Xenopus tropicalis: one gene and its partners. The protein of the gene in region 1 interacts with the protein of each later gene in a pairwise test. Links are inferred from orthologs where the notes say so. Each region holds a gene or a part of one and is shown on either strand. Other genes may lie near its edges. The genes, in order: creb3l1, gpr25, plp1, pgap2, fxyd6 and slc35b4.

What was found.
Region 2: the proteins of creb3l1 (region 1) and gpr25 interact in binary tests that used the Homo sapiens proteins (3 or more experiments, as listed by UniProt). The two-hybrid records come from large-scale screens. The link is inferred for Xenopus tropicalis from reciprocal best matches to the Homo sapiens genes CREB3L1 and GPR25.
Region 3: the proteins of creb3l1 (region 1) and plp1 interact in binary tests that used the Homo sapiens proteins (3 or more experiments, as listed by UniProt). The two-hybrid records come from large-scale screens. The link is inferred for Xenopus tropicalis from reciprocal best matches to the Homo sapiens genes CREB3L1 and PLP1.
Region 4: the proteins of creb3l1 (region 1) and pgap2 interact in binary tests that used the Homo sapiens proteins (3 or more experiments, as listed by UniProt). The two-hybrid records come from large-scale screens. The link is inferred for Xenopus tropicalis from reciprocal best matches to the Homo sapiens genes CREB3L1 and PGAP2.
Region 5: the proteins of creb3l1 (region 1) and fxyd6 interact in binary tests that used the Homo sapiens proteins (3 or more experiments, as listed by UniProt). The two-hybrid records come from large-scale screens. The link is inferred for Xenopus tropicalis from reciprocal best matches to the Homo sapiens genes CREB3L1 and FXYD6.
Region 6: the proteins of creb3l1 (region 1) and slc35b4 interact in binary tests that used the Homo sapiens proteins (3 or more experiments, as listed by UniProt). The two-hybrid records come from large-scale screens. The link is inferred for Xenopus tropicalis from reciprocal best matches to the Homo sapiens genes CREB3L1 and SLC35B4.

Annotation. Positions count from the first base shown.
Region 1 is NC_030680.2:13,417,178-13,422,203, reverse strand, and holds part of creb3l1 (cyclic AMP-responsive element-binding protein 3-like protein 1), read left to right. Parts: intron 1-3,667; coding exon 3,668-3,881; intron 3,882-4,624; coding exon 4,625-4,776; intron 4,777-5,026.
Region 2 is NC_030678.2:172,542,933-172,547,327, reverse strand, and holds gpr25 (probable G-protein coupled receptor 25), read left to right. Parts: upstream 1-2,100; coding exon 2,101-3,180; downstream 3,181-4,395. UniProt on the Homo sapiens protein: Orphan receptor.
Region 3 is NC_030684.2:37,579,356-37,584,839, reverse strand, and holds the start of plp1 (myelin proteolipid protein), read left to right. Parts: upstream 1-1,843; 5' UTR 1,844-1,883; coding exon 1,884-1,887; intron 1,888-5,484.
Region 4 is NC_030678.2:177,473,860-177,479,474, forward strand, and holds the start of pgap2 (post-GPI attachment to proteins factor 2), read left to right. Parts: upstream 1-2,179; coding exon 2,180-2,237; intron 2,238-3,009; coding exon 3,010-3,162; intron 3,163-3,781; coding exon of another isoform or gene 3,782-3,785; coding exon 3,786-4,037; intron 4,038-4,503; coding exon 4,504-4,610; intron 4,611-5,615.
Region 5 is NC_030683.2:81,650,804-81,656,306, forward strand, and holds the start of fxyd6 (FXYD domain-containing ion transport regulator 6 precursor), read left to right. Parts: upstream 1-2,223; 5' UTR 2,224-2,230; coding exon 2,231-2,279; intron 2,280-3,766; coding exon 3,767-3,808; intron 3,809-4,164; coding exon 4,165-4,239; intron 4,240-5,503. UniProt on the Homo sapiens protein: Associates with and regulates the activity of the sodium/potassium-transporting ATPase (NKA) which catalyzes the hydrolysis of ATP coupled with the exchange of Na(+) and K(+) ions across the plasma membrane.
Region 6 is NC_030679.2:86,407,346-86,412,846, reverse strand, and holds the start of slc35b4 (UDP-xylose and UDP-N-acetylglucosamine transporter), read left to right. Parts: upstream 1-2,266; 5' UTR 2,267-2,437; coding exon 2,438-2,514; intron 2,515-4,306; coding exon 4,307-4,420; intron 4,421-5,264; coding exon 5,265-5,367; intron 5,368-5,501. UniProt on the Homo sapiens protein: Antiporter that transports nucleotide sugars across the endoplasmic reticulum (ER) membrane in exchange for another nucleotide sugar.

The DNA of each region.
Region 1 (5,026 bases):
CCGGTAACACCAAAAAGGAGGCATCAGGTACTGACGATTTTTTCTGACAGGTGACACATATTATTTAAAGGGGATGTAAACCCTGCTACACAGCACTGCTCAACCAAACTTTACTCAGTTGTTGCTGGACTACAAATCCCAGAATAATGTAACATATAATGAAGGTAGAGGCATGCTGGGAGCTGTAGTCCAGCAACATCAGGGCTGTATTCTTAAAGCAATATTGCACAATAAATCTTTCCCCCAAATCCCCACAGCCAGCGACTGCTTTAAATTGCGAAAAATCCCCCAATGAGAATCCCAGCTGATCTGTATAAATCCGGCTCCATGTTCTCTGTTCCTGCAATTGGAGTTGGGAGCATTAAACCCAGTTTCCCAGCACTGAACAAGTCTGCCCTTATCCCCATGTCTGATTCCTGTGCCATATAATGAGGGGAAAATGCCATCATTATCTCTATATGTAAGGTACCAGCAAGGGGCCTGACACAGTGCTGGGAATCAGCATTCTCATTGGTCACTTCTTTTTTTACTTCCCCTGTTTTCTGTCTGGTCTAACGCCACAGCCCACCCCTTTATGACACTGCCATGCCCCTTTATATCATGGCTCCACCCTTCATCCCCCCAACCCCAAATACAGTGGGTCTTATTTACTAGCAGAATTAGTGCAAAGTGGCTTATGTCATGTACAACTGACATTTGGCTGTGGGAGCACACATGATTTGGCATATTGCATGCATTTTTGTATGATTTCTATGAGTCAACTTAGGGGGCTGTTCCTGCTGAATTGTGCTTAGTACAGGGGAATCCCTATGCTGCCATAGTTTTATGGTATCTCTCTGTACAGGCTATGGGCAAACTTAGGGGGCTGTTCCTGCTGAATTGTGCTTAGTACAGGGGAAACCCTATGCTGCCATAGTTTTATGGTATCTCTCTGTACAGGCTATGGGCAAACTTAGGGGGCTGTTCCTGCTGAATTGTGCTTAGTACAGGGGAATCCCTATGTGCCATAGTTTTATGGTATCTCTCTGTACAGGCTATGAGCAAACTTAGGGGGCTGTTCATGCTGAATTGTGCTTAGTACAGGGGAATCCCTATGTTACATAGTTTTATGGTATCTCTCTGTACAGGCTATGGGCAAACTTAGGGGGCTGTTCCTGCTGAATTGTGCTTAGTACAGGGGAATCCCTATGTGCCATAGTTTTATGGTATCTCTCTGTACAGGCTATGAGCAAACTTAGGGGGCTGTTCCTGCTGAATTGTGCTTAGTACAGGGGAATCCCTATGTGCCATAGTTTTATGGTATCTCTCTGTACAGGCTATGGGCAAACTTAGGGGGCTGTTCCTGCTGAATTGTGCTTAGTACAGGGGAATCCCTATGTGCCATAGTTTTATGGTATCTCTCTGTACAGGCTATGGGCAAACTTAGGGGGCTGTTCCTGCTGAATTGTGCTTAGTACAGGGGAATCCCTATGTGCCATAGTTTTATGGTATCTCTCTGTACAGGCTATGGGCAAACTTAGGGGGCTGTTCCTGCTGAATTGTGCTTAGTACAGGGGAATCCCTATGTGCCATAGTTTTATGGTATCTCTTTGTACAGGCTATGAGCAAACGTAGGGGGGGCTGTTCCTGCTGAATTGTGCTTAGTACAGGGGAATCCCTATGTGCCATAGTTTTATGGTATCTCTCTGTACAGGCTATGAGCAAACTTAGGGGGCTGTTCCTGCTGAATTGTGCTTAGTACAAGGGGAATCCCTATGTGCCATAGTTTTATGGTATCTCTCTGTACAGGCTATGAGCAAACTTAGGGGGCTGTTCCTGCTGAATTGTGCTTATACATAGGGGAATTTTATACTGGCATAGATTTATAGTGTGAATAGCCTAACTACTACTGATGCTTACTGATGACTTTCCCCATGCCCTTTTAGTATTATTAACCTTTATTTCTATAGCACTGGCCTGTTCTGCCCACATTACAGAGATGATACAGCAGTTCCTGCACCAGCAGAGCTTACAATCTAATACTAATATATTTAATATGGTATAAAATGATATATTTTCCCAGTGCCTTCTATCCAATATTATTCCCATCTCTCCTAGTATTTATAATTTAGCTGCACTAGAAGATTAGGGCAATTGTGGGTGTGGGAGGAGTTGTTGTTATTGTTGTTGTTGTTATTGTTGTTGTATTTGCATGCTATGATTTGCGGTACATACGGTACATGTTGCACTCTGAATGCAAACACCCTGCGCTGCTTTTCCGACTCACTAACAGCGACTGCTCCATTCTAACCCTGCACTCCCGGGCTCTGTGGCCAGACATAAGGCTCCACTAACTTTCACTTTTTTTGCATGCTCCTCTCCCATTGGCTCAGAGCCGTCAGTAACCAGCCAATCCAGCTTCCTGATCTCATGCTGGCTTTACTAGCACTCAGAATTAACCCCTTGCCGACTGCTACAGGAGGTGTTTTTATTATGGGAACAGATGGTGCCATAAAATGCCTCAGAGCTCATTCAGATTCTGGACATGGGAACTATTAACTGCTGTCCCTTCCGCAGAGATGGGTTTATTTAATGTACAGAAAAGCGCGGCGTGGGCGAACTCACTGGCACGGCAGGGGTTAATTCACTGCTGGGGAGCAGGATATTAGCGGCCAAGCGGTTATTATACCAAACTGCAATATAGTAATAAAATGAGATTGTTTTGTACACATTCCTGGCCTGCATAATGTATTCACATGAGATGTTTCTAGTAGACACCAGTTAGGGGGGGGGAATGTCTGTCTGCTCATAATACAGATATATATATATGTGTGTGTGTGCAGTGCCCAAGGATTTACAGCAGCAGCATGAATGGAATTAGAACTTGCATTTTGGAAATCATAATGGAAGCCATGTTTGTGCCATGCCCTCTGCTTGAACCTTTTAGTGACTGCTAATATCCTTATCATTTACATTAGGGGGTACATTATCCCTTATAATACATGAGTGATACTCAGAGTTCCCTGTATAACTCAGCCTGCAGCCTTGTGCCTTTATATGGGGGGCACAGAACCCCTCAGTGACTGCTAATATCCTTATCATTTACAGTAGGGGGTACATTATCCCTTATAATACATGAGTGATACTCAGAGTTCCCTGTATAACTCAGCCTGTAGCCTTGTGCCTTTATATGGGCACAGAACCCCTCAGTGACTGCTAATATCCTTATCATTTACAGTAGGGGGTACATTATCCCTTATAATACATGAGTGATACTCAGAGTTCCCTGTATAACTCAGCCTGCAGCCTTGTGCCTTTATATGGGCACAGAACCCCTCAGTGACTGCTAATATCCTTATCATTTACAGTAGGGGGTACATTATCCCTTATAATACATGAGTGATACTCAGAGTTCCCTGTATAACTCAGCCTGCAGCCTTGTGCCTTTATATGGGCACAGAACCCCTCAGTGACTGCTAATATCCTTATCATTTACAGTAGGGGGTACATTATCCCTTATAATACATGAGAGATGCTGGCCCTGATTAAGGCCATACAAGAATAACAGGACTGGCCTGCAGCTGAATTAGATGGGTGAATAAGTAGCCGCTTGGGTACATATCTGCCATAATGTTCTATATTTAAGTCTCTGTATGTTTATTCTCACTTCTCCCCATTTCCCCCCTAGCACTTCTCAGAAGCTCTTGATGACTTCTCCAATGAGCTATTTAACAGTTTTTTCGATGACCCGCCCTTACTGGACCGAGACTCCTTACTCGACATGGATGTGGAGAGCCCATCGCCACCTATCCAAGCCGAACACAGCTACTCATTGAGTGGAGACTCAGCCCCTCAGAGCCCTGCCCTCACCATCAAGGAGGAGGATGAAGAAAGTCCGACCGGTTAGTGAATATGACATTGCAGTCCTGGGAGTCATCGTATCTATTCAGTGACTGATGCAGGAAGCGTCTTCAGAGTCTTGTCTGCTCAGTTCTATTGCTCAGGCCACACTGACATTGATGTAGTAATGGCAGAATACATTAATCCTTTTAACAGTGGCTTGGACGACTTCTTGGACAAGTATTTCATCTTGGGCTCCAGTATACATAGTGTATCAATGTTTCTGTGTGTATGCATTGGGTATTATTTTGAAGGCTTTAGCTTAATGGACTATTAGTCTTTACTTTTATATCTATTTGCCTTCCTCTTCTGCATCTTTCCAGTTTTTAAATGGGGGTCACAGCCATAAAGCTATTGCTCTGCGAGGCTACAATTTAATTGTTATTGTGACATTTTATTACTTCATATTCATTTATTATCTTCCTATTCAGGCCTCTCCTATTTATCCTCCAGTCTCACAGTATAACCAGTTTCTGGTTGCTAGGATAAATTGGACCCCAGTAACTCTCTATATCTACTTCATACTAAAACTAAATTAAGCTTTTACCAATACCAGGACAAAACAGCAGGGGGCACTCCTGTTATACATTCATAATTGTAGCAATGGTTATGGAAATTGCAAAAGTACCCCAAAAAGCAATGTTGGAATAAGCTGTGTGTAAGTTGGGGGGGGTATATGTACTGTTTACTACAGAGTGGGCTTTTGGGGTGTATTAGAGGTGGCTAATTTTTTTCTCTCCCTCAGAGCCCCCTAGCAACGGAGTCTGGGCCTTGGAGCACGAGATCTGCTCCCTACTGGTCAAACAGGAACACAGTCTAACGGCACAAACCAACGCCGCGCACTGCAGCACCGCACTAGAACATGCCCAGGGATCCATGGGCCCCCAAGACGAGGAGGTGAGTGACTGCTCGCTTGGTCCGACCGTTGCCAGGGACGCAAGTGCTCCGAGCAGGATTCTCTCAGTGCTTCTCTAAGGAACGGTTGCCTTTGGCCCTTTAAAGGGATTGTTCATCTTTGAGTTAACTCTTAGGGGCTGATTTACTAATCCACGAATCCGAATGGGAAACATTCGGATTTGAAAACGAACATTTTGCGACTTTTTCGTATTTTTTGCGACTTTTTCGTAGCCGTTACAACTTGCGTGAA
Region 2 (4,395 bases), on another chromosome or scaffold:
AACTAAGATATAATTACCCCTTATTGGGGCAGAACAGCCCTATTGGGTTTATTTCATGGTTAAATGATTCCCTTTTCTCTGTAATAATAAAACAGTACCTGTACTTGATCCCAACTAAGATATAATTACCCCTTATTGGGGCAGAACAGCCCTATTGGGTTTATTTCATGGGTAAATGATTCCCTTTTCTCTGTAATAATAAAACAGTACCTGTACTTGATCCCAACTAAGATATAATTACCCCTTATTGGGGGCAGAACAGCCCTATTGGGTTTATTTCATGGTTAAATGATTCCCTTTTCTCTGTAATAATAAAACAGTACCTGTACTTGATCCCAACTAAGATATAATTACCCCTTATTGGGGGCAGAACAGCCCTATTGGGTTTATTTCATGGGTAAATGATTCCCTTTTCTCTGTAATAAATGTAAAGAAGGTGCAGAGCTATTTAATTCTTCATTAAAGTTAAATTGAGGGGTTCGGCTGTAGCCCCAGTGCTTTTCAATTAATTAATAATGACATAATCCTATAAAGTTAGGTGTCAGTATTTGAAGACACAGCAGACAGTTGCAGGACATTTATACACAAGAGAACAAGGTGGGGGGGTACTATGTGGGAGAAAAGGCAAATAAGGATAAAATTATCATAGAAAAGGCAAACCATAGGGGCTTTGTTTGGGATAACAAGAAAAAAAAATGCTAAGGTTTGGGATCTGATATCCAGAAACCGGAAATGATTTTTCAGTAGACTTTTTGTATACAGATCCAAATTATAGAAAGATCCCTTATCCAGAAATCCCCAGGTCCCCAGGACCTTGCTGAATTCTGTCTCTGTAGCAAGTATTAATAAATAAAAGTCAACAGACAGTAATGCAAATAATAATAATAATAAGTAGAGTAGGGACGGGGGCCCAGAGCTGATTGGGCAGGAACGGAACATAATGACTCTGCTTAATTATTAAGTAATTGGTTTTCCTGCAGTGACTAAATTCTACACTAATGGGAGACCGGATATATAAAAGGACAGAGAAATGCAGGAAATTCAGAGAGGGGATATCAAATGGCTCATGAAAATTATTTTTTTATTATTATTATCATTAATAAGATCAGAAATTGTTTTCCGAAGTAAAGCAGTTATTTAATCATTAACCATTAACTTAACTTTTAGTAGGTTATAGCAATGCCTATTCTAAACAACTTTTCAATTGGTCTTCATTATTTTTTTCTTATAGTTTTTAAATTGTTTGCCTTTTTCTTCTAACTCTTTGCAGCTTTTAGATGGGGGTCACTGACCCCGGCAGCCTATTGCTCTGTGAGGCTCCAGTTTTATTGTTACTTTTATAACTTGTTTTTCTATTCAGTCTCTCTCCTAATTAAAACTGCTCCCTGGTCGCTAAGGTAATTTGGACTCTAGCAACTAGATAGCTGCTAAAAACTCAGAACGAGAAGTAAAATAACTAAAAAACTACAAATCAGCCGTCAGTCAGGCAGAGACAAAGCTGTATGTTAAGGTATGAAAAATATAATATAAATATAAATATATATTCAGGTATATGTTACTAACACAGGAGTATATATTGGGGGCTATGTTACTAACACAGGAGTATATATTGGGGGCTATGTTACTAACACAGGAGTATATATTGGGGGCTATGTTACTAACACAGGAGTATATATTGGGGGCTATGTTACTAACACAGGAGTATATATTGGGGGCTATGTTACTAACACAGGAGTATATATTGGGGGCTATGTTACTAACTATATATGGGAGAGGATACCTAACTAAGGTATATGGCCTAACACAGAGTGGGGCTAACTAACACAGGAGTATATATTAGGGGCTATGTTACTAACACAGGAGTATACAGTATATTGGGGGCTATGTTACTAACACAGGAAGCCCTGGGAGAGAAGCTACAAGTGCCAAATGGAAGGATAACAAATAGAAAGCAGAAATAGTCCCACCCCTGCGCTTGTATTGGTGGGTTCTGAGACTAATGAACCCTTCTGTATAACCACAATAAACATATGAAGGGCTTATATAACCCCCTACCCACGCTGCCCACACATCCTTTGGCACTGCCGCCCCTGACCAACCATGAGTGTTGCTACAGCCATGGAGGCCGTTACTTATAATTACGATGAATACAGTGATTATGATAACGACACGGAACCCGACTGCCAGGATGAGAATTTGCCCCATGGGCACTGGATTCTGCCCACCCTCTATCTGATCTTTTTTTTCTTTGGCCTGACTGGGAACGCCATAGTGATCGCCATTGTGTCCAGGCGGAGTTCACGTCGGGCAGATATTTTCATTCTCCACCTCGCCATCTCTGACTTGCTTTTTGTATTGACTCTGCCATTTTGGGCTTCTTCGTTGGCGCTGGGGGGGCAGTGGAGCTTTGGGGTACACATGTGCCGCGCCAGTGGGTTTATTATCGCGGTTACCCGCTGTGCCAGCTCCTTGCTAATGGCCATCATGAGTGTTGACCGTTACCTTGCGGTGATTGGGGGGCATAGGATTCACCCTTTCCGCACTAGGACCTGCTCCCTGGGGGCTTGCTGCGCCATTTGGCTGCTCTCCCTGGTAACTGGGATCCCCCCTCTGGTTTTCCGGAACCTGGTGGAGAACGTGTGCGTGGAATCCTCAGAATCGAGACTCAGCGTGGGCATCAAGTTGGCCACTTTGTTCTTGACCTTCGTCCTTCCACTTACCGTGGTGGCGTTTTGCTACAGCTGCATGGCTAAGCACCTCTGGAATTATTTTGGGGGCCCTCAGAATGTTGCTGGGGGCAAAGCGAAGCCTCGGCGTAGGCACAGCTGGCTACGTATAGTCTCGTGTGTTGTGGCAGCGTATTCATTGTCTTGGTTGCCCTATAATACCCTCAGCACTGTAAGACTGGTGGCCGAGCTTGGAGAAGGCTTTCCCTGCCACACCACGGTCGCCATTAACCAAGCGCTCAGTGCCACAGCCGCCATTGCCTTTGCCAACAGCTGCACCAACCCCCTCATCTACTCCATCCTCGATGCCGGCTTTCGGCACAGGACAAAGCAGACCTTGCCCAGCATTTTCCCCATATGCCAAGCAGTTTTCCATCTCCCCTTCCGTGGTGGGAGCCAACAGTCTACAGTTGCCAGCACCGAGAGTAGCAGCTCCTACACACGCAGCTACTGAACCCTTCCAAGCCCTTTATAAATGGCAGAAAAGGCTCAAAAGCCAACAGCGATCCAACATCATGATGGACTAGAATGTCCCCAAGGTGCTTATTCTCTCAATAGACAACACTGGGACTGAGTATGTAAAATGAAGGCAAATAATATCATTTCTTTATGTGTATAAAATGATTATTTCATCAGTTTATTTTCCCTACAGTCACACGTCATATATATATATGCGTTTTTTAATACACAATTGATTGTTTTTGGAATATAACTCGGTGTTGCTGGTCTTTTTTGGATATATATATACACTCATAGAGCAGACTATCCAATATAATGACTTCTATGCCTTGAACGTGTTATACTCTGTACAGAATATAAAATGTCCTGAAGCATTAAAATGTTTTAAAGCTACAACCTACCTTTAGCTTATTCTTTGGTTGCAAACAACAGAGGGAAGACCAAGGAAGCCCACGATTCTGGCTATAACCGGCAAGCAGGTTGGGTGTGTTGGTTGGTTGAGATTCGGAGGTCATTGGTCAAGATCACTCTCAGACTGGTGCCAAAGGGTGCTGGGTGCAGTCCTTGCAAGATTTCCAATCTGTGGTAATGCAGCGGTTGATAAACTGCAACTCCCAGCTTCATTTAGAGTGATGTTGAGGCAGCAGAGGGTATCAGCCGGCACACAGCAACCTATTGAGCAAATCCTGGTATAGTCTTGGGAACAATATCCATGTTGGTTGGGTGCAGATGTGCATAGAAGGTCCCAACGCCATTCTTTGGGGAGTCCGTCTGTCCAGCTGATCTTGCACCTCTCCGTTGGTTGAGTAATTCTACTAGTAGTAGTAACATTGGTTACAAAGCAACTCATCCTCATCGACATACCCAGGTAGCCATTGAGAAAATAAGAAAGGTTGAGATACAATGGCACAAACCATGCTTGAGTGAAGGGGGCTGCGAATGGGGCTCTAGGAAAAGTTAGGGGTACAAGTAGATGTACCAAGGGCAGAGTGAGAAGGGATAGAGCTATGCTGAGATGTCACAGCAGGGGGCAGCGTTGAGTTAAGTATTAGCTAAGGAGAAGCGCAAAGAAGGCAACTTTCTTCAGCCTGTACACGGATGAATGAAATCTCTTGTTCTATTAATGCTATACAATACAACATAATATAGGCAGAAGAGCTTACACCCAATACAGAGCTACACACTGAAGATCTCAAACTTACGGGATTAC
Region 3 (5,484 bases), on another chromosome or scaffold:
GTTTTATTATTACAGAGAAAAAGGGAATCATTTTTAAAAATGTGAATTATTTGATTAAAATGGAGTCTACGGGAGATGACCTTTCCGTAATTCGGAACTTTCTGGATAATGGGTTTCCGGATAAGGGATCCGCTACCTGTAATTTTTTTTTATCTAAACACATAAATAGTTGTGTGTTGTGTTGGCATTTTGCAGAATTCACAATCCAAAACAGGGATAAGATTAACACTGTTTGGGAAAACGGGTATTTCATATGTAACAATATGAGGATACTAAAAGTCACTCAGGTGATGTACATTACGTATACATTATTTTTTTTATTACATTTTATAATATTATGTCACATCCCTAAGCACAAATTATAGTTGATGATATCACGATACACTATTTATGAGGCAATATTTTATATTATTCATGGCTCTTGTGTGTTTTGTAGGGAATAATATACCCCCTATTGTGAAATATATAGTAAATAAAGTATACCCTGTGATAAAATATAAGGTCCATGACCATATAACATAGGTCATGGAGCTCCAAGGTGACTTATAAAATCCTCATATATTTTTCAACAGGGGGTACTTCTCATGTACTAATTCCTACGTTTCAGTGAGTCATATGACAGATATTACATAATTATAACTGCTAACATCACTAAGCACTGTTTATAAGGATATAATTTACAGGATATCCACGGTTCTTGTCTATTAGGATCTATAAGGATATTATGTCACTCAGAAGGCCTACACCTCATTAATACAGGTCATGGAACTCCAATATTCTAATATTCTCATATTTTAAAGAGGGAGTACATTATTTTTTTTTATAATACACAAGTTTGTGAGTCATGTGCCCCAAATGACATCACTAAGCACCCGTTATAGCTGATGACATCGCTAAACACCATTTATAAATTTAAAATTTACAGGACATTCATGGCTTTATTTCCTGTTATTATGTTATACTTTAATACTAATTAGCATATATGAGTAAACTTTATCTAAAAATAAATACAAATATCCCGCACTAAATAAACACTTATCACCTAAAGGCCTCAGGTCCAGAAGGATCTCCATACCACTCCATACCATACCAAAGTTATTTTAATTGCTCTGTTCATTTTTGAAGTACAGGTATGGGATCCCTTATCCGGAAACCCATTATCCAGAAAGTTCCGAATTACAGAAAGGCCATCGCCCATAGACTCCATTATAAGCAAATAATTCTGATTTTTATATATTATTTCCTTTTTCTCTGTAATAATAAAACAGTACCTTGTATTTGATCCCAACTAAGATATAATTAATCCTTATTGGAATCAAAACAAGCCTTTTGGGTTTATTCAATATTTAAATGATGTTTAGCAGATTTAAGTTACGGAGATCCACATTATGGAAAGATCCCTTAACTGGAAAACCCCAGGTCCCGAGCATTCTGGATAACAGGTCCCATACCTGTACAAGAAAGATCATGTGTAGAATATATATATATATTTATAATATAATAATATAATATAAAATAACATGTAGATGTGTGCATTCACTACTATACCCTAACACTGCATCTCTTTCCCTCACAATGGGTCTTTATTCACCCACAAGTCAGGAGAGCGGGGTGTAGAGTTGGCAGCAAGAAGCAAGCGCCCACCCTTGGTTCATTTTAACCCCTACCCTCATAGGGGATTGAAGGGTTCCACACACTGATCTTAAACGGTTTGTGTGGCATATCTATAGATCTGGGAATAGAGGGGTTAAGGGGTTTGGCACAGCAGTTGATAGAGGCTAATGACACTCAGGGACACTGGCTGCAAGCACAGTCAGTGAGAGAGAGGAATCAGGGCTAGCCACACAAACAGGTCCTCTTCCAACAAGTCTATTTCTACAACTATGGGTGAGTAATGATTTCTACTTTACATTCCTGAGTCTGTTGAATAAATCATCTCAGCCAGGATTCTTGATTAATATACACAAAATAATATGAGGGAAGCAACCATGTGATGATTTATTATGTATGTATTAGAAAAGAGAAAAGGGCTTAGACTAAGGAGAAACTATGGCAAATGTATGGTTGGGAAGTGTAAGGCTAAGGATATATGAAGACTGTATAAAAACAAATTTTATTGGTAAAATATTTAGTATATTTTTTTTGCAATGTGTTAAGTGTCCTTGCAAAGTTATTTTATCATTACAAAAATCTATTGGACTTTTGTCTCTTGTATCCAATTCCGGTCTCTTCTAAGCTTCTGAGCTTTTTCCGGCTGGCCTTCTGTTGATCTGTTCCAGTACATCAGGGATCCCCAACCTTTTATACCCACGAGCCACATTCAAATGGAAAAAGTGTTGGCGAGCAACACAAGCATGAAAAAGTTTTCTGAGGGTGCTAATAAAAGCTGTAATTGCCTATTTAATAGCCCCTACGAGGACTTACATCCTACAGAAAGCTCTGTTTGGCATTACACTGAGTTTTTATGCAGCCAAAACTTGCCTCCTAACCAGAAATTCAAAAATAAGCACCTGCTTTGAGGCCCCTGGGAGCAACATCCACGCGGTTGGAAAGCAACATGTTACTCTCGAGCCACTGGTTGGGGATCACTGCAGTACATGTACAGTATGTTTCTGTACAAACCTAAAACTTCAGCACTGCAAGGCAGGAATACTGGCTACTGTACCACCAGGTTACCCTGCAATGCCCAATTTGCTTCCTGTCACTGTTAAAAAGGCTTATGGTGCACTCTAGTGAGCTTATCAGCTAAATACAAGCATTAATGATTTTAGAGAATAATTGCGCAATGTGCAATATGGTGCATGCTCTTTGTTAACAGTAAAGGGATGCACTGACTGGAATTCCATGTAATGCCCTGTTGCCAAAAAATGTATTTACTAAGTGTAATTTTCATGTACACTCCCATTTCTCCATTTTGGGGGTTACTAACCTGGTAAATTTTTCCCGTGCTTTGGAATACTATATTTGGTATATACAGTCCCCTCTACATTATTCTTTGAAAGAGATTTTGTGACAGACAACAGAATGTCAGTACAGGAACTTATAGCAAATAATGGGCCGGATTCCATGGTTTACCACATGAATCGAAGTGGTTGGGGAAAATGGAATTTAATTAGGAGATTAGTTGAATATGACCCAGTGTTATCAAGGCTTTTCTTTTCCCATCATTTGTAGGTGTACTCTCTCTGTCATCTAGTTTGCGCAAGTCATAGTGCAAGTCACTGTGAGAGATCACACTCCATGCATAGTTACACATAATAATTTGGGTTTAAAAAAACATAAGTACATGAAGTTCAACCCTTCCAAATGATCCACAGTGCAACCAATCAATATACTCACATATATAAAAAATATATATACATACCTATACTAAACTCACTGTAGATCTTGACATCACAATAGTCTTGGATACTATGCTTGTCCAAGAACTCATCCAGGCCCCTCTTATAGGCATTAACAGAATCTGCCATTACCACATCCCTCGGCATTCCACAACCGCACTGCCCTCACTGTGGTGCTGCTTTAGGTGAAAGCTCAGTTGCTCATGTCTAAAGGTGACTTCTGGTAATTTGTTTTTTATTATGGGATAATCCCCTCTAATGTATTTGTACAGAGTAATCATGTCCCCTCCTTTGCCTTTTCTCCAGATAAAACAGGCAAATTAATCAATCTGTTACTCTGCTAGGACTTGCCTGAAACAGCAATGTTTAGACTTTTGGGTGTCATCTCATTCTAAGAGGAATGTATCATTTGCACAAAATAAAAAGGCCATTTATAAAATGGGGCATAGGAATCTAAAGTAAATATAGAACGCTGCATGTCCCAGTACGGAAAACTTCTAATCTTAATAGTGATACTAAATTGATAGAGATCTAATCAGTTTTGTTTTTCTAGGCACTGCTATGCCCAATTCTACAGAGTTTACAATCTTAATTTAGAACCTTGAGTACACAGAAAAACATCTTATATAGAGGCCGAAGGAACTAACAATGTTTTTGAATCTAGGGCCCCCTGAGAAATTGAAAGGCTTATTATAAAGCAAATGCAAAATGTGCATAGAATCTGTCTTTTTTAAATCCATACATTCCAGTGTAATTGCAGATATCCTACATTAATTTGGCCAGATTTATCAATGCAGATATAAATTAGTATCCACAATGTTAAATACTGTACATATTGTGTATGCAAATTGTGTAATTTCTGAAACATCAATGACCGAGAGTGCCCGAGAGGGAGGTGGTGTGTGAGTCATGTGTGGGTGCAACAGAACTAGTAATAACTCCATCCCAGGGCTCTTAGTTACTGGGTCCCATGAACTCTGTATTTGCACCTTATGCAACAAAGCAGGCATAACCAGTGTTTCAGCATAAGGTGCAAGTATAGAGGAGCTTGAACTGACACAAGTACCTTTTGATAGCACTTACATTTTGAGTGCCACTTTGCTTCTTGCACTTGCAATGGTAGCTTACATGGGCAACTTTTATATTCTGTAATATGTAATAAGAGATATAGATAGTTCTGCTGAGACCTCTCCCTGTCAGATTCCATTGTCCTTCCCAGTGCACTCACATAACAAGGAGGATGTATTTGTCTCCTATCCTCATCCCCATTCTTGTACATACCATTAAACAAGGAACGTTTAGCCACTTAGAATGTAGCAGTATAGGCAATATTTATATAGACAGATGCTCTGCTGGTGAATACAGTGTTACATGTTATGTTAAACATTTGCAACTAAACTGAAGGCCACAAAGAAGAGTCATTTTACCCTGACGCTGGCGCAGTGTTTACATACCTACTGATATTACATAATAGAGCCAGTCTATTCTAAGTGTATAGTAAACACTCACTAGACTAAATGTGTTTCTTTCATTGTTTGGGGGTGGGAAGAGAAGCAGTGTCAGGGCATGTCAGACACGTTATCCCCAGTTTGTGTGACAGAGCGTCATTGTTGTGTATGTGTGACTGTATGTGGGTGTATTGTTAGCAACAATGTATGTGTTGTACGGATCCACTTGCAGATAGATACAGAGATAAAGGCATAAATTCTCTCTTTTAAAAGCACACTTTGTATACTATACAATGCAGCTAAATGTATTCAAACCCACTGAGCAGTACCAGGCATACAGAGGCTGCAGGTCAGATCCCTTTAGCAAACACCATAGAACATGCCAATATCCACAAGCAAACTATATTCCAGTTCTAATTACTCATAAGGTGAGCGGTATATAAGCACCATAGCTCCACACAGTTTATGGAGTCCTCTCTAATGTGAGCAAATATATATATAGCAATATAGGAAAATAATTTACACCAATAGTCACCAAATAGTTCCATGACCATTTAAAGGCACAAGGATGCAGACCAAGTGTTTTATTCAGGTTATGAGATTCCAAGTAAGGTACATTTTTACAGCAGGGTGTAAAGTATTTTTCATAATGAGTCATGTGACAGAAAGTATGTCACTAAACACCATTTATATTG
Region 4 (5,615 bases), on another chromosome or scaffold:
GGGGGTCTCTTTACACTCACTGTCAGTAACTAACCCACTCACTGTCAGTAACTAACCCACTCACTGTCAGTAACTAACCCACTCACTGTCAGTAACTAACCCACTCACTGTCAGTAACTAACCCACTCACTGTCAGTAACTAACCCACTCACTGTCAGTAACTAACCCACTCACTGTCAGTAACTAACCCACTCGCCGTCAGTAACTAACCCACTCACTGTCAGTAACTAACCCACTCACTGTCAGTAACTAATACACTCGCCGTCAGTAACTAACCCACTCACTGTCAGTAACTAACCCACTCACTGTCAGTAACTAACCCACTCACTGTCAGTAACTAACCCACTCACTGTCAGTAACTAACCCACTCACTGTCAGTAACTAACCCACTCGCCGTCAGTAACTAACCCACTCACTGTCAGTAACTAACCCACTCACTGTCAGTAACTAATACACTCGCCGTCAGTAACTAATACACTCGCCGTCAGTAACTATACACTCGCCGTCAGTAACTAACACACTCGCCGTCAGTAACTAACACACTCGCCGTCAGTAACTATACACTCGCCGTCAGTAACTAACACACTCGCCGTCAGTAACTAATACACTCGCCGTCAGTAACTAATACACTCGCCGTCAGTAACTAATACACTCGCCGTCAGTAACTAACACACTCGCCGTCAGTAACTATAACACTCGCCGTCAGTAACTAACACACTCGCCGTCAGTAACTAACGACACTCGCCGTCAGTAACTATACACTCGCCGTCAGTAACTAACACACTCGCCGTCAGTAACTAATACACTCGCCGTCAGTAACTAATACACTCGCCGTCAGTAACTAACACACTCGCCGTCAGTAACTAAGACACTCGCCGTCAGTAACTAAGACACTCGCCGTCAGTAACTAACACACTCGCCGTGAGTAACTAATACACTCGCCGTCAGTAACTAACACTCGCCCTAACACTCGCCGTCAGTAACTAACACACTCGCCCTAACACACTCGCCGTCAGTAACTAACACACTCGCCGTCAGTAACTAACACACTCGCCGTCAGTAACTAACACACTCGCCGTCAGTAACTAACACACTCGCCCTAACACACTCGCCGTCAGTAACTAACACACTCGCCCTAACACACTCGCCGTCAGTAACTAACACACTCGCCGTCAGTAACTAACACACTCGCCGTCAGTAACTAACACACTCCTGTGCCCTGATGTATTGTGTGTAGGGGCAGTGGAGTAAGGGGTCTCTGCCCCCAGTGACATTTCTATATATACTCAGTGGGGGATCTACACTTACACCCCCCCCTTAGGGCTCTGGCACACGCGAGGCAACAAAGTTGCCTGCGCAGCGTGTGCCATCCCACTGGTGACTTACATTTTTGCCAGTGGGATGGCAGTTCGGGGAGATTAGTCACCTGTGATAAGGGAGATTTGTTTCGGGCGACTAATCTCCCTGTGTGCCAGAGCCCTTACCCCAAGGGATTCCTGACTGTGGCCCCATACAGGCACTGACTATACAGGTCCCAGAGCGGATCCCCCTGTCTGGTGCTCAGTCGTCTGCCCCCCCCCTGGCTCCCCCCGTTGCACCCCCTGTCTGCGCCCCCGTCTCCCCCCCTGCTTGCTCCCCCCCTGTCTGTCCCCTTCTCATCCCTCCCCTGTCTGCTCCCCCCCCTGTCTTGCTGCTCCCCCCTGTCTGCCTCCTGCACCGCCCCTTTCGTGTCTTGCTCCTCCCCCTGTTCTTGGCTGTTTCTATCGCTCCCCCCCTAGTCTGCCCAATCATGCCCCCTGTCGCGCAACCCCTGAATCCCACTCCCATTTTGAGTATTTTCCACAACCCCATTACACCGCAACCAAGCCCTGACTATTCTTACCCCGAGAGTTCCGCATTTAAGCGCCACTACAATGTTTTGCATTTCTCTAGCCCATACAGGCGGGCCCGCTAAGTCCCTCAACTCACGATACCTTCCCCCCCATATACCATAGAGTTGAACTATAGCTCCCCTGTCCACTCATGCACTCCCCCCCTAGCAGGCCAGTGCCCACTCTAGTGTTTGTCAGCAGCAATTCCCTGTCCCACTCATGAGTTGACCTTCCCCCCCCACATTAGCACTCGCAGTGACATACAGATCCCTGTCCCACTCATGTTATTGCCCCCCATACAGGCCACCATGACTATACCCACAGATCGAGACCGACATGTCCCCACTCATGTAATATTCCGCCCCAGTACAGCACCCACTATACAAGTGATCCCCCCACTAACAATTATTTCCACTATCACCGAACATACATCAGTACAGATTTCCCTGTCCCACTCATGATTTTATTCCCCCTACCTTGACAGGCAGTGTGACGCATATAAATTACAGAACTCGACTCCCGGACTCATGATATTCCCCCCATACAGCACGTGACTGTAGTTTATATAACAGATTCCCTGTCCCACTCATGTTATTTCCCCCCATACAGGCAGTGACTATACAGATTCCCTGTCCCACTCATGTTATTTCCCCCATACAGCAGTGACTATACAGAAGATGTCCCGTGTCGCCACTATAAGGATATCACCCCGCCACCGATACAGAGGCGGGTGAGATATACAAAGATCCGCTGTCCCACTCATGTATTTCCCAGCAGCATACGGAGGCATGACAAGGTATGACAAGGGATTCCCTGTGCCCAACTGCATTTAAGACCGTATCTAGCAGAGTGAGGTAGTACAATTCCCTGGTCCCAGCTCATGAGTTATTTTCCCCGCAGTAGAGGCAAGTGACAGTGATAGGCAGGAATTCGACCTGTCCACTCATGTTATTTCCCCCCATACAAAAGTGCAGGTGACTAATACAAGGAAATAGCCCTGTCCCACTCATGTTGATTTACCCCGCACATAGCAGGCAGTGGGAGCGTATACGAATCCCTGTCCCACTCATTTATTTCCCCCCCATACAGCAGTGGACTATACAGATCCCTGTCCACTCATGTTATTCCCCCCATACAGCCTTCCGTGGCCCTGAGCTGGGCCAACTCGCTCTGTCTCATTCATTCACTACGTTTGCGGTGGGCACGGTCTCCCTGCCATTGTTTGCCTTCCTCTTCTGCATCGTCTGGTCCCTCCTCTTCAACTTCAGCCGAGACGAACTGCATGCCACTGGTCGATGTGAGTGAGACCCCCCGGCCACGGTGCCCCCGCGTAACCCGAAGAGTTATAGCCCGATAATCCCGCTGAGAGTAGTGATACTGGTGCACATGTATGATTGGGGCGCGCCCCCAGGGTGGTGGGATATATACTACACCTACCCCCCCCCCAGTGTACATACAGATATATACCTACCCATTTACCCAGATCCTCGGCTCTCTCCCCTCTCTCTCTCCCCCCTCTCTCTCCCCCCTCTCTCTCCTCCCTCACTCTCTCCTCCCCTCTCTCTCTCCCCCCCTCTCTCTCCTCCCCTCTCTCTCTCCCCCCCTCTCTCTCCTCCCCTCACTCTCTCCTCCCTCACTCTCTCCCCCCTCTCTCTCCTCCCTCACTCTCTCCTCCCCTCACTCTCTCTCCCCCTCTCTCCTCCCCTCACTCTCTCCTCCCCTCACTCTCTCCCCCCCTCTCTCTCCCCCCCCTTCTCCTCCCTCACTCTCTCCTCCCCTCACTCTCTCTCCCCCCTCTCTCCTCCCCTCACTCTCTCTCCCCCTCTCTCTCCTCCCCTCACTCTCTCTCCCCCTCTCTCTCTCTCCCCCTCTCTCTCCTCCCCTCACTCTCTCCCCCCCCCCTCTCTCCCTCAGGTCCTAACTACCTGCCGTCAGTCAGTGCCGCTATTGGAGGAGAGACCCCCCAGAGATACATATGGCGACTGTGCATTGGACTTCACTCTGCCCCTCGCTTCCTCGTGGGCGTGGCATACCTGCACTACTATCAGGGCACCCCCTGCTCCAGCCCCGCCTACCCCCGGCTCTGTCACCTCAACTTCCTGCTGAATTGCTGCGAAATCTTCTTCCTCATCCTGCTGACTTACGTCTCATCCTCGGAGAATTATGGTAGGGCCGGGAGAGACCAACATCGTGTGGCGGGGGGGGCAGATGTGTTAGAGATACCCCCAGTATTAGCCCCGCCCCACCTACAAACCAGGGGCAAATACTTTTGTCTCCTCTGCCCGGAGGTGGTTGGGCAGTTTGGCCAGTTTCAGCCATATGGCCTGACCGACTAGACACGTATGCAGGAATGGGGGGGGGGGGGGGCATTTCTATAAGTAGAAGGGTTTGCTTTCAGCCAATCATGGGGGCCCTCCTGCTCTTTCTTATAAAGAGTTAACCCTTCTGTAGGCATTGTGTTGGTCTCTTGCTTAGACAATAGGCGGTGCTGCCATAGCGGTTTCCATGAAGGGACGTAGGATGTGCCCCCCCCAGGATTCATGTTCTGCAAGTAAATGTGGGTGGGGGTTGGGTCTAATAGATAGATAACCATGCTTGTTGGGTTCTACGTAGAACTTCTCTGTCTCCCCAGAGGTCCATAAGTTGGGTTTCATGGCCTTCATGTTGTTCTCGGTGGGCTACATGTTCGTGACCTGCTCGCTGTGGCGCGTGGCGCGTAAGGGCTCGGGGAGCCTGGAGGTAAGTGCCCCCGCTTTATGTCTTTCTATGGGGTCGTCAGTGTGGCCCCGGGAGTGTGGGGAATTGTGGGTAAATGGGCCCAGATGTGGGCAAGCTCAGTCTGCACTAAAATGTCATTGTAATTGAGAACTAAAGCTCAACCAATAGTTTGGCTAGAAATGCTTCCCCTTGTACTGTGGCACCCCAATACTACCCCTAATGCCCCTCTCTGTCTGTGTCACCCCAATACTACCCCTAATGCCCCTCTCTGTCTGTGTCACCCCAATACTACCCCTAATGCCCCTCTCTGTCTGTGTCACCCCAATACTACCCCTAATGCCCCTCTCTGTCTGTGTCACCCCAATACTAACCCTAATGCCCCCGTCTGTCTGTGGGCACCCCAATACTACCCCTAATGCCCCTCTCTGTCTTGTGTCACCCCAATACTACCCCTAATGCCCCTCTCTGTCTGTGTCACCCCAATACTACCCCTAATGCCCCTCTCTGTCTGTGTCACCTCAATACTACCCCTAATGCCCCTCTCTGTCTGTGTCACCCCAATACTAACCCTAATGCCCCCGTCTGTCTGTGGCACCCCAATACTAACCCTAATGCCCCCGTCTGTCTGTGGCACCCCAATACTAACCCTAATGCCCCCGTCTGTCTGTGGCACCCCAATACTAACCCTAATGCCCCCGTCTGTCTGTGGCACCCCAATACTAACCCTAATGCCGCCGTCTGTCTGTGGCACCCCAATACTATCCCTAATGCCCCCGTCTGTCTGTGGCACCCCAATACTAACCCTAATGCCCCCGTCTGTCTGTGGCACCCCAATACTAACCCTAATGCCCCGTCTGTCTGTGGCACCCCAATACTAACCCTAATGCCCCGTCTGTGGCAGCCCCAATACTAACCCTAATGCCCCTCTCTGTCTGTGGCACCCCAATACTACCCCTAATGCCCCTCTCTGTCTGTGTCACCCCAATACTACCCCTAATGCCCCTCTCTGTCTGTGTCACCCCAATA
Region 5 (5,503 bases), on another chromosome or scaffold:
AGTAAATCGGCGAAAAAGACTCGCGAGTCTTTTTCGGCGATTTGAGCGAAATCGCGCCTCCGCGTCTGCCATCCCGCCGGCGACTTACATGTTCGCCGGCGGGATGGCAGGGGTAGGCAACTCGGGGAGATTAGTCGCCCGCGAACAGGGAGTTTTGTCGCGGGCGACTAATCTTCCCCGTGTGCCAGAGCCCTAAGTGTACAGAGATGTATTGGCTCTTGCAAGACTGATGTCAATTATCTGAAAACCCATTATCCACAAACCTTTGAATTACGGAAAGGCCATCTCGCATAGAATCCTATTGGGTTAATTTAATGTTTAAATAATTTTTAGCAGACTTTAGATAAATATATCCAAATTACAGAAAGAACCCTTATCTGGAAACACCCAGGTCCCAAGCATTCTGAATAACAGATCATGTACCTATACTATGAATTACTATCATCACTGCTGCAACTGACCACCTGCAAACAAATTAGAACAAGCATATTACAAATTTACCTAGTAAAACGGATACTGCACTTTAACTTATCAGTACAAATGCTATATTTCCTAGCATATGTAAAAATAATATATAAATGTATATTATTAATATTCAGATAAAATCCTTCATTTACAGTAGAGCTGCATTTCTACAAAAGTCCATGCTGCCAGGCACATGTGTATGTTAAAGTTTTACTCATTAAAAAATGTCTGCAGCATGATATTGCATTTGTAATTTTCAGTACTGAATTATTAGGCGCAAGTGTTGCAATAAAAGTAATGTGGGTATAAAGGTGAGCTGCATGATCTGAATAACATGGAAGTCACTGAAACAGTGGGACACAGTGGCAGTGCATATGCTGGTCAGGATGAAGGAGAGACAGAGGGTAAAATTATGAACAGAAAATAGAACACTAAATATAATGAAAAAATCAGTGGAAAAGAGAAGCAACTGGAACTGCAGTAATAGAAACGAATTAAAGGGGCGCTGAGCGATATATGGAGAGCAGGTGACCCGGTAGGAAGAAGGGCATAGATAAAAGCCTAAATGAAACAGCCCTGAAATGGCGTTTAAGCAAATAGTCTATGAATCAAATAAACGAGCTCTCACTCACCTGACAGATCCAACCTTGCAAGAATTCATGCACCCCATCTTTCTTGGCCTTTATGCACCGTTCCATCTCTCTCACCCTCTGCACCCAGAATCGAGTAATGTCCTGACTCAGGCGCTACAGCGCCCCCTGCCGGAAATAGCGTGAATGAGCAGGGTACTGCGGTGAGAGAGAGGCGGCCAGAGCATTTAGGCGTAAGAACTCTCAGTTGAGATCGTGTCAGAGCTTTGTCAGTATTTTTTCAGTGAACCAGAATTATAAAATGTACGTTTTTTACTGCTGTTGCCCTATTCCTACAGTGGAAAACGCGAAGCTATTTGAACTGTGTCCGTACAATTATACTCTAACCTTTGCCTGCCTGTGTAATCAGTGCAAGATCAAGTGTATTTATATGCATGTATATGTAATTCACTACACCATTTAGCAAAATCATTTTATATAAATTTGTTGCATAAACCAAAACAATTTAGTTTTCCTGGCCAAAGCAGAAAACCTGCTCTTCAGCTTCTTCAGATTTATATCAAGGCAGCTGCCTGCAGAAATCTCTTTGGTGAAAGCTGTTAGTAATCCCAACCTCCCAGGGCCTCTGCCTTTCATGCCTTAGCCATAAGGTATGTTTGTCAGTACATAGCCACCCTGTGCTGCTGCCATTCAATCACAGCCATCCTGTGTCCCTTTCATCTATTATAGTCTCTTGCACAACACTTTACAATACACTGTGCATCTGTTTAAGGATTATATCTGACTTTCAAAGATGATTTTCATACCAAGTGGGTCAAGTTATTAACTTTGGTTCCTACTGAAGAGCTAAGAAACAGGCTGCTGGTGTGTTTTTATACTCAGTGTAAGCTATCAAACATTTTACACAGTCAAAATAAACAGTCTCTGGGCCGACCTGGAGCCACACAGACCCCCTGGAGTGCCACACAGCAGTGTTATAATGTAATGCCATGCAGGCCACACTCAACCCCTAATGCCCTATGCTTTGAAAACAACTTCCTGTTGATCTCTTTGTGAAAAGAATATGACCTGTCAAATAAGTTTGGGTTATTAAGATTATTCTCACTGACTTCTGGTTAATGAGGTATCAGTAGTATTGAGGAATTCAGTTAACAATATTTATTTCCACAGGGCTCATGGAGGCAGCACTGATTTTCCTTTGTTCTGCTCTGGTTCCAGTACTAGGTAAGTAGGCAGCCTGAGCCAACTGAGTCCATGTTACTCAAGGGAAGCCCAAATCTGTTTTAGTTAATTACAAATACTTATCTGTTGCTAACCTATTATCACATTTGCTATTTAGGACTGTAAGCAGTTAAATAATAATTGGAGCAATCTCTTATTTTTTATGCACGCAGCCACTTCCCCCATGACAATGGTTGGTAGGTCAGTATATGACCCACAGTTGCTGTTAGAGGAGCAGTTCAGTGTAAAAATGAAACTATGAAAATAGTTTATATATACAGTAAATAGTATATATATAGTAATATAATGAAAAATATTTTCAATATAGTTGGGCAAAAATGTAATCTATAACAGCTGACGCGGGCAGATATCTAACATAATAGCCAGAACTCTGCTTCCTCCTTTACAGCTCTCTAAGCTGTTAGCAGTCAGTAACCAATCAGTGACTGAGGAGGTGGGGCATATGGGCCATACCTGTTCAGTTAGTTTGCATTTGAATCTGACCTGCATGCTCACAAACTAACTGAACAGTTATGTCCCATGTGCTCCCCCCCCCCCCCAAAAGTCATTGACTTGCTATGGTTAGAGAGCTGAAAGCAGGAAGTAAACTTTTGGGGTATAGAAGAGCCAAGAGCCAAGTGAGTTGGTTGTATCACAAAACAATATATTAATTAACCTCTTATATAGTCTTAGTAAACCACTTGAGTTCATTGCTTTATTTCATCTAAAGTGGTCAAGATAAGTCAACATCAATCCCAGGGTTACTCCTGTGAAATTTTCTAGGGCTCATTTACAGTGGCTGGGGGAAAAAGAGCAAGAGAACTAAGGGCTCTGGCACACGAGGGAGATTAGTAGCCCGCGATAAATCTCCCTTGTTGCGGGCATTTTTCGCCGGTGGTATGTCATATTGGGGAGATTAGTCGCCCGCAACAAGGGAGATTTGTCGCGGGCATTTTTCGCCGGTGGGATGTCATATTGGGGAGATTAGTTGCCCGCAACAAGGGAGATTTTCACGGGCATTTTTCGCCGGTGGGATGTCATATTGGGGAGATTAGTCGCGCGCAACAAGGGAGACTTGTCGCGGGAAAACTTTTATGTTTCCACCAAACATCTATAACAATTTGTTGTGTGCACTTGGCGATAACTTTGGCTGTGATCAGTTCAGATATAACTGGGAGACTAACTCTTTGGTCGGCTTTTTTCCATCCCTTCTCCCCAGGGAAATCTAGATTTAGGCAAAGGAGAGACAGATTTTAGCTCAATATCTATTACCTTTTTTGATCAGCAAAACATAAAACAACACAGCTACAGCGGCCATGAATGATATCTTGCTGTAGATGGTGAACTGCCAGAATGTTTCCGTGCATACAGAAGACTACTACTAGGAGATAAGATTGCTTGCGGAACTACAAATTCATAGTTTACGATAGGTTGATTATCCAAACCAGAAATTCATTTGTAAAACTCTATTGCATTGTATTTTTCCCCAGGTGCCAGTGAGGAAGTTAAGGATCAAGACCCATTTCACTATGGTAATAAAGTGAATACACTTAACACTAACTTTAAGGTTTTATATTTGGTATACTATCTTAACCAAAACTAAGAACTCTGTACCCTGTGACTCCTAATTTTGGAAACAAATGTCATCTATGCTGGAACACACATTTCCAGTAAAAGCCTTGTTGGCTAGATCCATTTGGATATCACAAGTCATTTATTATTGACTTTTTGTGATTCATTTATGCCAAACCATATGCCCAAAATGAATCACAGGCTGGCGAGTTATTGCTTTTTGTTGCTGTTTATTTAGTAATGTTATTACCATTCCAGTGGTTCTGTTGTATCCAAAACAATCAACAAATTTAACAATGTATTGTCTTATGCACAGATTATGAAAGTTTGCGCATTGGAGGGCTTGTTTTCGCAGTTGTCCTCTTCATGCTGGGGATCCTCTTGATTCTCAGTAAGTATGTTGCATGGATAAATCTATAATAGCTTCTGGTAAATACCAAATAAAGAATGTATGTAATGGAGAAGGAAAGGCATTTTGGCATTTTACTGCCAATAGATTAGCCACATTAGTGCCACGCTATATTTATTCTGCAGAAAGCTTTACCATGTCTGAGTAAACAGCCCTAGAAGCTTTCTCTGTTTGTTTAAGATAGCAGCTGCCATGTTAGCTTGGTCTCCTTAGCTTCCTACTGCAGCTCTAGCACTTGGTAGCACAGCTCACACATTCTTGTGGGAGGGGGAGAGAATTCTTATGATGCAGATTCATGCCCCAAACCTGAAGGAACCCTAAAGGAGAGGAATTCTGATACTGAAGAACATGATTACATAAAATAAGACAAGAAATCCTGTGGTTCTTTGGATAGAGGACTCTTCTGAGAGGGGTTATGGCGGTATTTAGATAGACCTTTCTAATAAAGCTTACTTAGTTTTACCTTTACTTCTCCTTTAAAAAGCATCCTGTCCAGCTGCTTGCATTGACCATTTCCTCCATTGAATCCTGTGCTTTGCTAGGATGGGGGAGTGATAAAGAAAATAAAGAGGCATATACTGTAATTAAGTGGAATCACAAAAATAAGTGCTACAATATCCTTATAAACAATAACAAATCCAATGCACAAGGCCTGTTTTCTATATTCAATGCCCTTCTACATCCCTCAGCAACCTCTCTGCTCACAACTTGCTCTCTTGACCTTATGCCTTCTTCTCTTCTTAAACACTGCGCTGCTAAGCTTACTTCCGCTCTTACTCACATCTTCAATATAAAAACATCTTTCCGTAAGAATAATTTACAAGAATAATTTACAAACTCCTTCTCCTTAACCATCAAAGTCCTTCATTCATCTGCATCTCACTACATCTCTTCTCTTGTGTCTCAATAAGTTCCTGGCCAACTCCTCCACTCCTCTCAAAGCAACCGCTTGGTTGCAACCCCCACTACTATTGCTGCTGTTTCCCACCTTAAACCTTTCTGCTTTGCTGCTCCTTACATTTGGAATGCAATCCCTGATTCCCTACCCCAGACACAGGTACTGTAGATACCTATGAAGGTACTGCCTGGACTATGCTGCCTGTGTGTATGGCACACACAGGGAGCATAGGGTAGGCAAAGTATGGCACACACAGGCAGTATAGGGCAGGGAGGGTATGGCACACACAGGCAGGGACGGGCAGGCAGAGCATGGCACACACAGGCATCTAAGGGCAGGCAAAGTATG
Region 6 (5,501 bases), on another chromosome or scaffold:
GGGCGATATTGGGTGAATTTAGGCTAATTCGGTCATTTGGCCCTGGGGCCAAACAATCGATTTAGAATGCCGGAATAGGTGCAGTCAGGTACCACATCAACGAGCCAATACGATCCCCAATCCGACTAAATTTTTTAACCTGCCCGATTTGAGGCCAGATATCGGTCGGGCAGGCCCGTCGTTTGTGCCCCTACATGGCCCGATAAGTTGCCGAATCGGTCTGTGGCCCGTGTATGGCCACCTTAAGTGACCTCCATGACAATTCAGATGACCTCTTTTAAAGGAGACATATTGGATAAATGGAAAAAACCCTAATTTTGTAGGCAATTATGAATAATATATGCTGTTGGTTTCACTTTGGGCTAAAAATGAATCCTAGCTGTAAAAATGGCCACTTTATTGGAGCTCCCTATAGATCCTCTCACTTCTCTGTCTGTGTTTCAAATGAAGGGTCGCCGTGTCCTAACGGTCCCTGCCAGAAGCACAGCAGGAGGGGGAGAGCCAATCACAACCCTGCACTCCCACAAGCAAAGCCAGGCTTCAGTTCCCTGTCAGGTCAGACTAGTTGCTGATTGGTTCCTAAACTCCAGAGAATTCAGCTGGCGGGACTAGTAGGGGTTTGGGGGAATGTCTCAATAAATATTTTTTTAAGCACAATCCATCTATATTTAGAGGAGTAAAATTCACTGGTACATTCTTAATTTTTATATGATATGTCTCCTTTAACTCTGGAGGCAATGCATGCCTGACATTTTGCTTATACTATGCATATTGGGCATCAAACTGTTTAGCAGACCTGTGGCACTTACATTTATGATGATCTTAAAACATAATGCCATGTGAGACAAGATACTCTAAGGGGCACATTTACTAACCCACGAATCCGAATCCGAATTGGAAAAATTCCGATTGGAAAACGAACATTTTGCGACTTTTTCGTATTTTTTGCGATTTTTTCGGCGCCTTTACGACTTTTCGGAAATTGTCGCATCTTTTTCGTTACCAATACGATTTGCGCAAGAAAACGCGAGTTTTTCGTAGCCATTACAATGCGCTCGTATCTTGTTGCGACTTTTTCGTATTGAGCACTCGTAAGCGGTGGGCGAAACTTTCAGACTTGGAAGCCTCCCATAGGACTCAATGGCACCCTGCAGCTCCAACCTGGCCCAAGAAAAGTCACCATACTGAAGCTTGAATGAATCCGAATCTTTCGTACTCGGCGCGAAGGCTACGAAAAAGTCGCGACTTTTCACGCAAGTAGTAACGCTATGAAAAAATCGCCAGATTTTGCGCAACATTCGAAATGGCAACGAAAAAGTCGCGACAATTTTCCGAAAAATCGGCAAATACCGTTCATTACGAAAAAAACGCAATCGGACGCATTCGGCCCGTTCGTGAGTAAGTAAATGTGCCCCTTAAATTTGAGGCAATTTACAGATATTTCATCAAAAGCCGTACATTTGGAAAGCTTTGTGGCATGTTAGTTTGACATATTTACCCATTTTGGATGCAGGAGAATATGTACTTTGCAAAAATATATCACTCTCTGTGTTACAGAGCTTTTTTCTTACATACAATGAAAAGTGTGATTTTGCAATAGTTGCAATGACCACCAGAATTTGTATAAACTTCTCCTTTTGGTTCCTCTACATGCCACAGATTTTGGCAATCCTAAACATACTGGACATCAAACAAGGACCTCTGGAATCCATATGCTTACTTCATTTTAGTAAAATAACTTATAATGAAAAATGAAGACCAATTGCAAATTACTCTCTACATCACACTAGTTAGCTACATCTAATACAAAGTTTTACAATTACGCGTCTTAGCCCAGCATAGCGTTAACGTGGTTACATGAACACTATGAGGGCCACGGTTTTTTATCTTCACAATCTTATGAAGATGCTCTTTATTGTAAAGTTATTAATTATATAATCGCGAAGACTAAAATTTCACGTGGGGTCGAAAAAGACAAAACCGTGCGACCAAACGTTGCCTTTCTACTAATTGCGCAGCAAAAAAAATCCGCATTATAGAGAACGCGCGGAAAACATTCGTTGTTCTTGTTCGAGTCCTTTGACTCACTTCTAAACTTGTATACGTGGAGACGTCCTAACCTATGTTTTTCCCCTCAGTCAGCACCAGTACCGCATCCGCTGAAATGGTTAAATTTTTAACATTGCAGCCAGTGATATTTGTACGCACTTCCGTATAAATCGTGCTTGATGGGTATTGTAGTTTTGGAGGTTGGATGCAGCCTCTCCAATGGCCGCAGTAGGCTAGACAAACTGCAAGACTAATAAACTACATTTCCCGTGAGTCTGTGCGCGGTAGGAGGAGGACGTGTCAGTCTCAGGAATGTACCGCCTTCGTGCTTCAGCTGAAAACCGGCGTTAGTTGCTGTTTAGTAGAGGCGTTTAAGTCACTTGTGACCATGCACCCAGCTTTAGCCGTGGGCCTGGTGTTTTCGGGCTGCTGCAGTAATGTGGTGTTTTTAGAGCTGTTAGCCAGGTGAGAACGAAGTTAGCCTTTGGTTCATTCATTTTGACTACAGCCAGCGAAGTGTACGAGTAAAGGTATTCAGATGATAGCAGGCAGGAGGCACGTTTATATATAAGGGGGTGTGTTATTAAGAGGCACCGCTTGATTCACTTTATTAGCTGCCTTTGCCGGGGAGGGACTAGGCAGAGATAAGTTTGACAGGTATCTAACAGCAGCAGAACATAACTTTTCAATGTGTGTTTAAGAGATTTGATAGCGATAGCTGTTAGTTGGATACCCGGGGAACCTATCTATAAGAGAACTGGATATGTGAGATGTGCAGGCCATGATGATCTCCCAATATCAGTGTTCCTCTAGAGGCAACTCCCATGAGAATAACCCAGGGTTGTCAGATCCATGTGTCAAAGTCCTTTATCTGTAGATAGAACCAATTTGTGTTTTAATCTAATGAGTCATCAGTGGTGTAGCCAGTGTGGGCCCTGTTTCATTACCTTTTTATCCCACCTGCAATATTGTGTATCAGTCTGACCGCTATCTCTGCCTGGCTCTGTATTCCTCCCTGGCAGCAGCCATTTCAGTTCACTGTTGTTACAATAAGCTTAGTGAACCAATTACACTTCCACTTGTTGAACTATGACTAATGGGCCATGGAGTTCTGCTTCAACAACATCTGGAGGCTTGCCAGCTGACTAGAGGTTGTTGAAATGGATGCCCATGCACCTTTGAGTCAATGAAGGTAAATTTTGAAAAAGAAATTAAAACAAATGATTTCTACACAAGCCCCTTTGATCTGAATGATGGATCTATGTGAGCAGCCCCCCCTCCCCTCCAAGTATGCATCTGAACCTTGCCATTACCTAATATGGCCTTGTAATTATGGAACAGCTTTTTGTGTTGACAGAGTTTTGTTGGTTTGACCTTGTTTGTGTTACTTTATGGTTTCCATGACATGCACAAACATACTAAACGCTTAGGCTACTTTCTTTGTCAACTAATGTAAAAGCTTTTGCCCTTTGTGTACAGAATTAGAAATAATTTATTCAATTAACATATCAAAATAACCAACATTTTGGTCTCATTGTAGGACATTCGGCAGGTTTAAAAAAGTATATAGATAAAGTAAATGTTCTTCTAAGATACATTAATAAGAATAAGGGCATATGTAGCAATTCATGCAATGAATGTCCCTATGCAAGAAATTTACACAAATTGCATTGAAACAGCATTTGTTAATGGGCTAGTTCACCATGAGATTACATTTTGGTGTGGTGTAGACATTCATGCACTACGACAGTTTAAAACTGGTATTCCTATTTGTTTTCCTTATTCTTTTCATGTTTTTTCTGTTGCTGTTAAGTTTGGAATTTAAACTTAGGATGATTGAATTATAGTAATAACAACTGGGCACTAGGTTAGAAGTAAGACTGGAATATAATTAGGAAAAGGCCTGAATATAAATATAAGCAATATCATATAGGAACAATAATAAATATGATCACATAACAAATCTGCAACCAGATAAAAATCACAGACTGAACTAAGCCTTATGTAATTCTTTAGATGAATAAATGACTAGATATTCATGATGTTCAAGAAAATGAGTTTATTTGTGGTTGCAAAAACCTCTAAATCCACAAAAATCTGAATGCTGATAAGACTGCCAGATAAGAGGGCAATACCTGTATAATATACTAAAATGAGAATGGTGGGTGTTGTGTGAGCGCTGTGTATGTTATAGTAAATCTTTCCTCCATATGGTGTCACCACTTAACATGATATATTTTTCTGTTTGCTTGAATAGGGCATTTCCTGGCTGTGGAAACATTGTTACATTTTCACAGTTTCTGTTCATAGCAGTAGAAGGCTTTATATTCCAAGCTAATTTTGGAAGAAAGAAGTCAGCCATTCCAGTAAGGTAAAATTTTCTCTTATCATTTTTGCTCAGTTCAGAATTATATTGCATGTGGGTATTCAGCAAGCATCACAAGAAGGTCTTTAAGAATCATCCACTTATTGATCCACCTTTAGATACCCAGAAAACTTACACTCATTTCATCTGTAAAAAAAATCCAAAAAATTCAGATGAATAGCCCTTTTAAAATATCCATATTAATACATGCTTTGTATATAGCAAGACCATTTTATTACGATGGGACAAACCAGTACTGTGCTATCCGGACAGGCCGTTGAAGTGGTTAAACGCTCCAGATATTCCTCGAGATGTGTGAATCCTTGTTATCAGCCAGCAATCGATGTACTTTCATGGCTTGTTTATTTATGCACTTCATTTTACACCTTACATTTTGCCTACAGAAAGGTTACATTATTTTTGCAGAAGCCACACTGAAAAGTTTAAAATACTTTCCGCATTATGTCACATTAGTGCATTTTTATGTGAATTTTAAGGGGTTGAAAACCCAAATATAAAATGACTCCTAATGAAATGAATTAATCCATTCTAACTTTCCAACTTTCCTGTATACATTCACTACATATTTTTAATTAATGAGTTATTTGTAAATGTGGTTGCCTTTTAATGCAGTGCTGTTTGTGCTTTGCTATTTTCTGCACCTCTGGTTATGACTACATGTGCTATTGAAACAATGCTACAATATTAACCTCCTCGCCAGCCAAGACACAATTTCCCACAATGCCTTTCATTTATAATAAATGTCCCCATAATGGCTTAGTGCAGGAGAGGATATTGGCTGACTTTTCCCCCTGCCTCCATAAGTTAACTTTCTGTGCTGTTGTTACAGGTATTACCTAATCATGGTAGCTATGTTCTTCACTGTCAGCGTGGTGAATAATTATGCACTTAACCTCAATATTTCCATGCCACTGCACATGATATTTAGATCGGTAAGTAAGCAAAAGAAACCAAATATTTTTATTAGATTGAATGCACACTATGGGGCACATTCATCAAAGTACGACTTTGTGTATGTTCTGCGACTTTTTCGTACATTTGTGTGACTTTTTCATAAAAAAAAAGC